Saccharomyces cerevisiae S288C: one gene and its partners. The gene in region 1 interacts genetically with each later gene. Each region holds a gene or a part of one and is shown on either strand. Other genes may lie near its edges. The genes, in order: YOR131C, CAL4, HAB1 and PDC6.

Region 1 (3,029 bases):
TCTTGTTGATGGGGATTTGACTTTTGCGGTTGCTCTCTCCCGTCCAACTGTCCCCTTTAAGGGTTTGAGAAGTATCGGAGTTGTTGTTTGAGACAGCATGGCGTCCTAGACGTGACAAACCTCCGTTTTCATCAGCTTTTCTGATATCAGAACGTACTCGTTCTAGTAACGTCAGCTTCTTTCTTTCATACTCTATCTTTCTTAGTGTAAATTCTTTGATCGAGCTTCTTATCCATTCTTCATACCAGCTAATCCACTGTTTTCTCTCGATAATCATGTTGGACGTGATTCGTTGAAGCTTAAGGGTCAAAACTTGTTCGTTTTTAGCTGCAGCTTTCAACTGACGTAGTGCTTCATCGATTTTCATAGGGTTAATATCTCTTCTTGACCGGAACCTGCGTGCTTGTTCCTGTTTCGCCTTTGAATTCTGCTGTGCCTGTACTAGATTTCGCATGATAAAATGCCTGTTGGTCAATGCTTCCTTCACGGCATAAGCATCTCTGACAATCCACTCTAAACCATCGTACAATGTCGCCATGTCCATGGTTGCTATAATGCTATCAATATCACCCACAGCAGTCAATATTTTACCGTATCTTCTGTAAAGTTTATTGTGCTCATCTAGATTAACGAAATCCTGGCCGAAGGCATTTTCTTCTTGAACCATCATCTTGCGATTTCTGGAAACTCTTAGCAGTTTTTCTTGCAAGCTCTGAGAAACAACATATATAGACTTGACTAATGGCCGGAATTCTGCTAATTCTGTGATTTCATCATATGGAGGTGCTAATTGTTTCAATGTTTTTCTTTTCAACCCAGATGCGAGTGATTTGGACTTGTTGATGGGTGTGTACGTATTAAAGTCACTTTCAATGAAAAAGGCCACTTCTTCATTCCGAATAATTAAGGGGTCTTGCGATAGCCTGTTAAACCAAAGTTGGAAATTTCGCGTTACTTTCATCCTATCTTCTTCGCTATTAATTCCGAATGTAGTATACGCAGAGGGAAGAGTAGGAACAAAAGATTCCTGAATGGCAACATTCAGATATTTGAACAATTGGTGGAATTCTTCGTATGATTTTTTGACATTCTTGTATTGTTGTTTGCGAAATGTTGGCAAATTTGTGGAGCAATCAAATATAATAGTCGGATTCTCTTTCTTACCGGTTGCAGATCCAAATCGTTCCAATCCTGTTACTTTTGCAAGTAGAGTGTATTTTTTTTTCTCATCACTTCTTTCAGGAAGTATAACACGTTCTGATGGTTGAGATGGTTGTTGGTTTTCATTGTGTTCGTTTGAAGTTTTTGATCGTGTTGCGTTTCCTTCTTCACCAAGACCATTTTGAATGTTATTTGCAGTTCCGTTGTCCTGAACGGAAGCTGCAGTTTGCTCAGTACCTACACGCTCCTCTGACATAGAAGATGATCCATCTGTGGTTGTTGCAGCAGGTTCAGAATCTTCCTCCTGGGGCTCAGCAAATGGATTGTTATCCAGATCATCATATGGATCATAAGGTACAGCCGAAGTCATTGTTCAGAGGATAGATGGATTGACTAAGGGTACAGTACGGCAAAAAAAAATTAGATCAGCTTTTCAAAACAAACTATTTTGGCGTTTACCAAAACCAAAACAGTATATTCAACTAGTTCAATCACTCTTGAAAACGTCCCCTTTCTACAAAATTAGGCTTTGAACGCGTGCTATGGAAAAAAGTGTAAAGAAAACGAAAAAACCAGAAAAGTCATATATATCTTATAACGAAATATCAGGGTGTTCGACTCAATCGCCAGGTGCCGCTAACACAATCATTAGGATAGTCGGGCAATATATACGGTTCAATAGTCACTGAAAGTGTATCACAGAATAATGACAAAGCTACAAGGACTACAGGGATTAAAACACATCAAAGCGGTTGTATTTGATATGGATGGCACATTATGCCTACCCCAGCCTTGGATGTTTCCAGCAATGAGAAACGCCATAGGATTGGAGGACAAATCGATTGATATCCTTCATTTCATTGATACATTGCCCACAGAAAAAGAAAAAAAAGAAGCGCATGATAGAATAGAATTAGTTGAGGCAAAAGCCATGAAGGAGATGCAACCGCAGCCTGGTCTGGTTGACATAATGAGGTATTTGACGAAAAATGGTATTAGCAAGAACATATGTACTAGAAATGTCGGAGCCCCGGTAGAGACTTTTGTTAAAAGATTTATTCCATCCGAGCTTTCGAGGTTTGACTATATTGTGACAAGGGAGTTTAGGCCTACAAAACCGCAACCAGACCCATTATTACACATCGCCTCGAAGCTAAATATAAGGCCCTTGGAAATGATCATGGTAGGAGATTCATTTGACGACATGAAATCCGGTAGATCTGCTGGATGTTTCACGGTATTACTCAAGAATCATGTGAATGGACATTTACTGCTCGAACATAAAGAACTAGTAGACGTTTCAGTAGAGGATCTTTCCGAAATAATTGAATTGATTCAAAATATGAATAAAGAAAGTTTCTAAAAAAAAAAAAACTTTACTTAGATATGTACATATGATTGAAATACCATTTTATTCTTAGATGTTTTTTAGAGCTAATATAGTAGCTATGGCGGAATTACCTTGATTTTTTCGGCATCACAAAGTTCGAGAACACATCAAATCAGCAAAAAAATCTCCGCGACGGGGAATTGAACCCCGATCTGGCACGCGACAAGCGCCCATTCTGACCATTAAACTATCACGGATTTTAATTGTTGGGTTAACGGTGTTTTTATTAATACTTGTTTCATATGATTTGAAAAAATAAAAAAATGTTGCAGCAAGTGATCATTAATGTCAATATAAATAATGATGGTAGCAAGATGAGTGTTTACGTTAATGTACATTTCATATACTGAGAAATAGGTGAATTTTCGGGATAATCGTTAGGATTTCATTATTGTTAAGGGCTATAATTTAGGTATATCGAATATACGAGAAGTTCTGCACGATGATATAGGGATCCATAAAGGGAACCAATATTTCT
Region 2 (3,117 bases), on another chromosome or scaffold:
CCTCAATAGGTTATCGAATGTGGGATTCCACCATTCAAGACATCCAGTTACTAAAACAAGCAGCAATTGAGGCACAAATGCGTACCTTGAGAGATTGGACTCACCATTTTCCTTATTTGCAGAATCTAAATACAATAGCATGTTCCACACTGAAAAATTGTGTCTGTGATCCGTTCTGTATAAGTGGTACAAGTATGCCTGATCCAGAAACTCGTATCCGTATATCTTGTACATTGCCCAACCACATCCAAGCAAAGTTGTTAGAGTACTCAAACCGATATTGAGTAGCGATGTAAGTTGTGTTCGTGGACCCTGGTTTCTTTTATTGTAGTATATAAAAATTGCTATTGGGATACAATATATGATTGGATATATTTTGAAATGGATAGAAAGACCATATAAGATTCCAGCTAGGGTGTATCTACTCTTTTGTAGAAAAAAAAGCGTGAACATGATCAAACAGCAAAGCACGCTTTCAGCGTTTCCCCTTGTACTGATGGTGATAACCATCGGATTCAATAGCCAAATGCTTTCCAATATTAAAGCTCTTTTTCTGGAGATGGCCTGGTTCAAAAGCTTCATTATAATGAGCCCAGTAACCAAATCGAAAATAACAAATATGACCTTCCCCAAATGAAACCATCCAAAATAATGATTAGGCACTAGCAGCCAACTTAGTAGCGGTGTGTAACGATATGTATCCCTTGCATAAGGTGATTTGCCTTCGTATACATATTTAGCAGCATCATGAAACACAAAATAGTCGATATCAGTGTACCTCACTTTGAAATTAGCGTCCTGGTAAATGCCAAAAAGAAAAAATCCGACTCTTACCAAGAATGACAGTACAGTCAAGCCCCATTCTTCGCCAGTCATCTTTCAACTTTATCACCTTTTACCTTGCTTGTCAGTTGTTGACTTTTTTATGTATATATATTGTGTTTTTTTTTGTCAAGTTCTTACCAACTATTAAAGTTTCTTTTATTATTATCGGAGCCTGTAAAAGAGCTCCACATGTTTCGGTTTACCTCTTGAAAATTGATTGCGAACATAACGAGTCAAGCATGGCAGCAGGTGGTGAACTTAGTTATGAAGAGTTGCTGGATCACATTCTGAATAACAAGCCTATACCTAATATTGTGGAGGTGCCCAATGTTACGCTGGATGAGGGTTTAGCTAGTACTCCTTCATTGAGGCCAAGACCTAGGCCTTGGGAAGGTCAGCTGCAGCATCAATCTCATCAAGGATCATTAGACAAACCCAATATATCTCTGGACATTGATCAAGAAAGCCTAGAAGGCATGACCTCATTAACAAGGCTGTCTGAATGTTACGATATACAGTCTAAGTTACAGATTAATGACAGTGACAACGATAATGATGACAATAACAATGATAACAATAAAGGCGATGGCAATGATGACGACAATAATACAGTAACAGCAAATCCAACAGCTAGGTAAATTATTCACCCAACAGGTATGTAAAAAAATGCATTTATATATTTATATATAGTACTATTATCTTCCCTTTTCTACTTAAATTTTATATCGCTCATTCATACTTAATCATAGACCTGCCCTTTTTGCGTTTAAAAGAATACAAAGGCACATGCATCTCCTTCTTTTGTCTGCATAATGTTTCTAACAAAGTTAGTGCGATATCTGTCGTTTTATCCTTTCCTTTTTATTAATTTCACAGTCTGATCTTTTATTGTGATTAGATAAGCGGCGTTGGTTTTAATTTCACGCTAGTTAAGTCAAAGCAGAATAGAGAATAGCTCTACAAGAAAAAGGACAAATAAGGTAACTGTGATAGCATATAAAGGCGTATGAGTGAAACACGAGAATCTAATGAAAGTACAGTTTCGTCTTTACAAACCAAACTTTTGCTCAATGACGGAATATCCGAAAACAACAAGAAAAATGTTATACTGCTGAATCAAATAGTGCCGTTTATTCTGAATACTTCACATTATATGACGGATCTAATGTATGTCTTGTATTATCTGGCTCAAAAGCAGGAAGACGAAGTATTAAACCATTCTGGCACATTTATTTCACACAAAAAAGAACTCCTTGCACTAAAGAGTGATATTTGTGAACTAATTTACGATTTAAGGACAGGATTCCGCTTATTATTGGATAGTTGTGAGTTAGATCACTTTGAAACTCCTGGAAAATGCCGGCATTTGATCGAGAAGGTTCTAGTCACCTCCATTTATGGAGTGAACAGGTATATTTTCCAGGAATTAAACAGATTAAATGTCGATTTTAAAGATGAATTTATATTACAAATGCAAAATTGTTTATCAGGATTCGTTAATCTCTACAAATTTTTGAACAAGATCCCTATGAGTAAACAACAGTCACAGATGAACGATTTACAGATGAAGATCTTAGTTAATGTGTTACAGAATGAATTGTTACCCATTTGGAAGTTTCAGTTAGATCTTTTGAATTGTAAACTATTTAACGAGCTCTCTAAGGATAAGGGCCTGATTAATATATATAGAAAAGCTACGAACGATAGTGTTATTGATGTTAGCAAGGGTGAACCATTCATCAGATATGTTAATTGGCTAAAGGACCAAATTATTGGTGAAATGACGGTTTAATGCAAGTAATGTAATATAATACAAGAGTATAAAAATAAGGTTCTACACAAACATCTATAAATGTATAGATTATACTAGTTTGGTTGGCTTCTTAGCGTTTCTCTCATCTACGTAAGATGAACGCCATGTGTACACTTTTCACATTTTAAATACATCTCGCGTGGAGGAGGGATAATAGAAACTATTTAGAGAAAAAAACGAGGCAGATTAAACGAAGTTACTCCAGGATTGGTCAAGCAATACTCAAACAAGATCAACGTCACGTCATAGTCAACTTCAATGTCTGAGATATTACAAGATGTACAAAGGAAACTGGTTTTTCCAATAGATTTTCCCAGCCAACGGAAAACAGAAAAATTTCAACAGCTATCGCTCATGATCGGAGCTTTGGTAGCGTGTATATTGGGATTTGCACAACAGTCCCTGAAAGTTTTACTGACTGCGTATGGCATTAGTTGTGTGATTACTTTAATATGTGTTTTGCCAGCTTACCCATGGTA
Region 3 (2,586 bases), on another chromosome or scaffold:
AACGGCAGAGCTATCATCGTCGTTTAATTGCGGAAGATAATTCTCAATTGGCTCTTCTTGTTGAAAGGCTTCCTGGAAGAATTGAGGAATGACATAGGCAGAGCCTAAATTGGTAGCGTAAAACGCAGCGACAGCCAATTGCTTCAAAGAAAAGTGCATGGTTGGCGTTTCTGTTTTTTTTTTTTTTTTGGCTTCTTCTACCAATTGTTGAAAGGCTGAACATGGTTTTGTTCCCATCCATTGTTCCTCGCTTTTATATTGAAAAAAGAAAAATTTTCCTAAGGACCCCTTCTTCCTGAGGGTTAATTTAAGGGAATTCAAAGTGTGTCAATAGTAATTAATAGAACTAATCAATATATTCAGTATAACTTTTATTATTAATAGTATATGATATTACTTTTTGAACTATATATTTATGGAAGCACAAAAACATAGAGAACACTCTTTCTGACGATAAGAAAGGTGATTATATCAAGATATATAATGAAGCAGCTCAATTGTCTTATTTCTTGTATCTCAAGTAGCTCCTTCTAGTGCTACACTTTAGTATTCTGCTTTGTTTATCATCGAACCTATCAAATTCCACGGAATCCTCTGGTGAATATGTGTTCTGGTGCCGTGTTGAGTTATCGTTATCCAATTTGTGTTCATTGGCGACAAGGCCCTTTTTCAGCTCATTCAAATCTATGCAATGATTATTAACGCCTTTCTTATCAATGGCAACCTTACCCAAATTGTTTCTGTTTCTAGTCAGGATTGTAGCCATTTCTCTATCTGAAATGTCCGCCTCCATGCTATCGTCAGTGGGGCTTTCTAAGGATTTTATGTTTATGAAACCATTGTTTTCATTGCAATAGATTATTTCAATGGGGGAAGGCTCTTGCTTTTTAAAGGAGAATAGACTATCAAAATATGAGAACCTAGAAAATATGGTCATTGTCAACTATAAGCGAGCTTAGAGATTTCGAATTGTTATGTTATAAATGGAGTGATAAGACTCTTGTTTGAGGCTTGGGCTTTTTGATTTATATTAAATTAAGATATGTAAAAAAAAAAATAAATTAAAAAACGTGTGTTCTATTTACAGTATCTACTTACTTATTTGTTTATATATTCCATTAGTTTACTTATCTTTATCCTTAACCTTTTTTTTTTGTGTGTGTGGGGAAGGGCGGTACATAATATTAGCGTCACAATATGCGCCCCTCGAAGAAACATGAGCGAATTCACGCAATTATGAGTCGCCACTCCCCTGCGAGAGTGCTACTGCGATATTGACGTCTGATGATCGGAACGTTATGCTCTAAACTTGTATTTGGTTTACAATCATACCACTTGTCTACAAACCCAGTGTTTTCCACGAAGTAGTCATGGCTGGCTAAGGAAACGCCGAGCCATTTGTTCTTTAGGGTACTTGAAAATCCACTGGTTATGACACTGTTTCTTAGAAGTTCGCATAAATCTGCTGAATGTAAACGGTATATACTAGCCGCTACACTATACTCTTCTATAATGGGTTCTTTCGTATACGAATTGTTGTAGAGGATAGATTCTGAGCTCAGCGATATCTTGAACCCCATTTCAAAAAACTTCATGAAAGGGTTCTTCTTATAAGGCTTTGAGGGCTCTAGGACAAGCCCCGTCGGGGCTTGTTCTTGCAGCATTGTAGGCTTTGAATCTACTATGGAATTCAAAGGCGCCACAACCATGGGAATTTGACTTAGATAGAAAAGATACACCAGTGATGGTGGTGCATTCCAGAGATTTTCTGCATTTAGAAACCCTCCACAGGCGAGCAAGAAATTGTTTAAAATAGCTTCCGTATGTTCTGTGAAGTTCAGTGTATTACTAAACTGTGAAGTTCGATTCATTGAGGTGGGAGAACATGAACTTCTCAAAGTGAAGGTATTTTGATGAAGGGCTTGGCGGATATGGTTCAATTTTGTTAGGTTGACGTAGACGTAATACATATATTGTGAAATGGTTGGATTATCACCGCCAGATGTCCAATCTTTTGGCAAGCAACTAACTGCTGTGAAGTTTTTCCAAATATAGTTGTCCGTATCTTGAATACATAGATCAATCGAAGATACTTGAGAAAGAAATTTCAAAAGAATAGGTCCTAATGACTTGTGTAGATAATTTTCGGCATTGAAAAGTGGTTTGAAGATTAGATTTAAATACTCCTGAAAATTCTTCACCTTGCCAGTATGATACAGTTCTGGATAAATTCTAGAAATGCGAATATTCCAGCGAATATTGTTAGAAAATATATTATAGTGGTTCAGCCAATTGGCAAAGACCATCCACCAATTGTCCACATCGGAATTATCGTAATGCAGATAAAATTGGAAGTCCACGGAGAGTTGACATAACTGATATTTCGACTCCTCTTGCGGTTTTATTAAAAACGTTTTCAGTAGTTCCGCTAAGTATTCACCATTAATATAGTTATCAAACTCCAAAAATGTTTTCGCAATCAAATAGTATCGAAGCTGCTTACCGTGTGAGCCTGTGTGTATTTCCATTTCATCGTTAACCAAATGATATTTTGCGAGATAAATAACTTTATACCACTCCAAAAAT
Region 4 (3,780 bases), on another chromosome or scaffold:
AGCACTTGTTATTTATAAAAAGACACGGGAGGGGGAATCCCGTCTTTCGTCCGTCGGAGCCAAAGAGATGAGCCAAAGCAGAAAAACAGGGGACGCCGCCCTTCTTCCGTCCCGTGCGTGAGGGGGGCGCGGCCATTCGGTTTTTGCAATATGACCTGTGGGCCAAAAATCGAAAAAAAAAAAAATAAGAGGCGGCTGCGGAATTTTATAAGACAAGCGCAGGGCCAAAGAAAAAATAATAATTGACGTGGCTGAACAACAGTCTCTCCCCACCCCTTTCCAAAAAGGGGAATGAAATACGAGTTCTTTTTCCCAATTGGTAAATATTCAACAAGAGACGCGCAGTACGTAACATGCGAATTGCGTAATTCACGGCGATAACGTAGTATTTAGATTTAGTATAATTTGAACCGATGTATTTATTTGTCTGATTGATTTATGTATTCAAACTGTGTAAGTTTATTTATTTGCAACAATAATTCGTTTGAGTACACTACTAATGGCTTATTGTTTGGCATTTGTAGCGGCAGTCAATTGCGCTTGTTTGATCAAACTTTCCGGAGCATCAAAGACGGGCAGTTTCAGTTCAATTAGTCTGATCACCGAGTTTTTCTGGAACTCTGAATCAGTGGTTAAGGCATCCCACTCACCCGTAGTGGCGATCTTGTGATTTTCGTACTTTTTCGCACCAAATGCGGGCAACAGGGCGAGGTGATCCCAGGTCTGGATTTCGTTGTACTCTGCGTGAGGCCCATGAATCAGCTTTTCGATAGTGTAGCCGTCGTTGTTAAGGACAAAAAGATACGGCTTTAACCCCCATCTGATCATGGTGGAGATTTCTTGGACGGTTAACTGCAAAGACCCGTCACCTATGAATAAGATGACTCTCTTGTTGGGGTCAATCTCCTCAGCGGCAAAGGCAGCACCTAAAGTTGCTCCTGTTGTAAAACCGATGGACCCCCACAACACCTGCGAGATACCGTAGGCGTCCTTAGGAAAGATAGTTTGATTGATACCGAAGGCAGACGTGCCGGTCTCGGAAATGATAACATCACCTTCTTGCAAGAATTTGGACAATTCGTTCCACAACCACTCTTGTTTCAAGGGCGTGCTAGCAGGTACACCTTTGTTTGCGGGAGTTTTGGTTGGTACGGGAACGCTCTTGTAGCCCTTAACAACATCGGGAATAACCTTCAGTAAGTTTTGTAGTGCAAATTTCATTTGTACACCGAGGAACGTAGCGTTCTTCACCTTTACGTAATCGGAATGAAACTCCACTACATTTTTAGTCTTGTAGGAGTAGGAAAACGAACCTGTGTTAAAATCAGAGAGCAAAGCACCGACCGAAAGGATCAAATCAGCCGACTCAACGGCCTGTTTCACGTCTTGTTTGGACAGCGTTCCCACATAAACACCGCCATATCTGGGATGCTGTTCATCTATTGACCCTTTACCTAGAGGTGTCACAAAAGCTGGGAATTGCGTCAAATCAATTAACTTCTGGGTTTCTTTTTTAACGTTGTGCCTAGAAGCACAGGCATCCGATAGTATAACAGGGTTTTTCGAATTCTGGATCAATTCTAGTACGGTATCAATAACTTCCTTTTCAGCTTCGGGATCGTTAGGTTTTAATGATAGATCAATCGGTTTTTCCAAAAGAGAACCAGGAACCTTTAGATCTACCAAATTCGCTGGCAACCCCAAGTAGCTAGGCCTTTGTGTTATAAATGTTGTCCTGATCAACCTATCGATTTCTGAAGGGGCTGTAGCAATGTCTGTAATCATTGATGTAGTTTCTGAGATATTGGCGGACATTCTGTGAAAAACGGTAAAATCACCGTTACCCAAGGTATGATGCAACAACAATTGCTTAGCCTGAGCGGAGATAGAGGGGACACCAACAACATGCAGTACACCGACGTGTTCTGCATACGATCCTGCAATACCATTCAAGGCGGATAATTCACCTACGCCAAAAGTAGTTACCAGCACAGATAAACCCTTGATGCGTGCGTAACCATCGGCGGCATAGGCGGCGTTCAGCTCATTTGCATTACCAGCCCATCTCAATCCATCTACCTCGTAAATCTTGTCCAATAGGGACAAGTTGAAGTCGCCTGGTAGCCCAAAAATGGTGTTAACATTAACTTGCTTCAATCTTTCAAATAAGTATTTTCCAAGAGTAATTTCAGACATTTTGTTGGCAATATGTTTTTGCTATATTACGTGGGTTTTTTATTTATACTGTATATAAAAGAGGACTGCAATAGCACAAGATTAAGATAGAATGGCTTCAAACAGCCGCCTTTTATACATATTGGTAAAAGCTCGCGAATCGCACCATATCCCTTATCCTGTAATCAAATCGATCTAGGTGCAGATACAGATCAATTCATAAAAAGAAATTGAAGCACCAGTTTATCACTACTACACTATCTTTTTCTTTTTTTTTTTTTTTTGCGAAGTTTCGCCCTTTGTTCAATATCACTTGATAAGTTGTGGGCTTTTTCTGTCACTCATTCGGCTTAAAAAGTATTCGTTCTTTTGTGTTTTATGAAAAGGGAACGTGATATAAAAAAACATCCTTTGGTGTGGGACATGGGCTTTTGTTTAGAGAATGGTTATCACTACCGCCCCCACCCTTGAAAGCCACAGAAAATGAAAAAGTATGTGAATAAGGTGTGAACTCTATAACATTTTGGCCAAATGCCACAGCCGATCTGCATATTCCAATGGACATAATGCAACAACAATTGATGTCACATTCTCTTACACACTTCGATTGGTCCGTACGTAGTACTTTTTACATAACTGACTCAGGCGTTTCCTTCATTGAAATGCTCATCTATTGCCAAGTACATAGAATCCACAGTGCATAGGTTTATGAGATGCTTGGAAGATGTACGATCGCCTGCACTATATTAGTATATTTTTTCAGGCTTTACAAAACCAGAAAGAAATTACCGACTGTAATACTTAATTTCCATGATTTTAATCGTATGGTCCGTGAGGAAAGAGGAATTTTAGGTAAAAAAAAACCTTTGTCTATCAAAACATAAAAGAAAAGAAAAAAATTAAATTGAATAAGTCAGCTTTTTAGCATGACCACAGTAATAATAGTAATACGATATCAGCATGAGCTGCTAAACATTAAGAATTTTTGAATTGTGTTCGCTGGTAAGAGAAAATAGGGTAGCATTAGTTGCGAGATGGAAAATTAAAATATGCGTCATAAGGTATTTTCGACGTTGAAGATTAGGGGTTGCAAGTCCGAGAACTAAACTGCCTTCACGACGTCAAACTTATTGTATGGTGACAATAAAACGAATTCAAGAAGCCAGAGATGATGAGGAACCGATGACGAGGCACATGGGGATAGAACCTCCGTTATCTCCATTCCGCGTTGAGCAGCTCTCCTGCGTGCTTTCACAGAGACCCTAAGCCAAGACCGCGGACGGCCCTCTTTTTCAAGGGGATCACCGGTAAGGGGCCAAGCGGTGAAATTGCGTATTGTTTCCTCCTATCAATGATGAGTACGTCGCCGATCCAGAAGGGTTATTATTGTCATTGCCAGTACTATTCGTATGCTGAAAAAGTATAGTTCACTTCACCCTCTGGCTGCAGGCTAGCCTAGCCGATAATGCCCCCGACTCCCTCAACAGGTAGAATTTGTAAGGATTCGACGTAGCCTGGACACATTGTGCATTTATCGTATCCCCTACTGCTACACGTATAAGAAGTCGTTGCTTTACCTCTATTCCAGAACTCAATCTTGTCGTT

Evidence for each region.
Region 2: mutations in YOR131C (region 1) and CAL4 together harm fitness more than expected from each alone (negative genetic interaction), as found in Saccharomyces cerevisiae (one large-scale study listed by BioGRID).
Region 3: mutations in YOR131C (region 1) and HAB1 together harm fitness more than expected from each alone (negative genetic interaction), as found in Saccharomyces cerevisiae (one large-scale study listed by BioGRID).
Region 4: mutations in YOR131C (region 1) and PDC6 together harm fitness more than expected from each alone (negative genetic interaction), as found in Saccharomyces cerevisiae (one large-scale study listed by BioGRID).

Annotation. Positions count from the first base shown.
Region 1 is NC_001147.6:571,677-574,705, reverse strand, and holds YOR131C (putative haloacid dehalogenase-like hydrolase), read left to right. Parts: upstream 1-1,867; coding exon 1,868-2,524; downstream 2,525-3,029. Other genes in the region: retromer subunit VPS17, read right to left, coding at 1-1,531.
Region 2 is NC_001142.9:458,141-461,257, reverse strand, and holds CAL4 (Cal4p), read left to right. Parts: upstream 1-1,831; coding exon 1,832-2,617; downstream 2,618-3,117. Other genes in the region: GPI14 (glycosylphosphatidylinositol-alpha 1,4 mannosyltransferase I), read right to left, coding at 1-876; YJR012C (uncharacterized protein), read left to right, coding at 1,065-1,463; signal peptidase complex subunit SPC1, read left to right, coding at 2,897-3,117.
Region 3 is NC_001134.8:772,273-774,858, reverse strand, and holds HAB1 (Hab1p), read right to left. Parts: upstream 938-2,586; coding exon 503-937; downstream 1-502. Other genes in the region: APE3 (aminopeptidase Y), read right to left, coding at 1-159; YBR284W (metallo-dependent hydrolase superfamily protein), read right to left, coding at 1,227-2,586.
Region 4 is NC_001139.9:650,786-654,565, forward strand, and holds PDC6 (indolepyruvate decarboxylase 6), read right to left. Parts: upstream 2,197-3,780; coding exon 505-2,196; downstream 1-504. UniProt on the Saccharomyces cerevisiae protein: Minor of three pyruvate decarboxylases (PDC1, PDC5, PDC6) implicated in the nonoxidative conversion of pyruvate to acetaldehyde and carbon dioxide during alcoholic fermentation.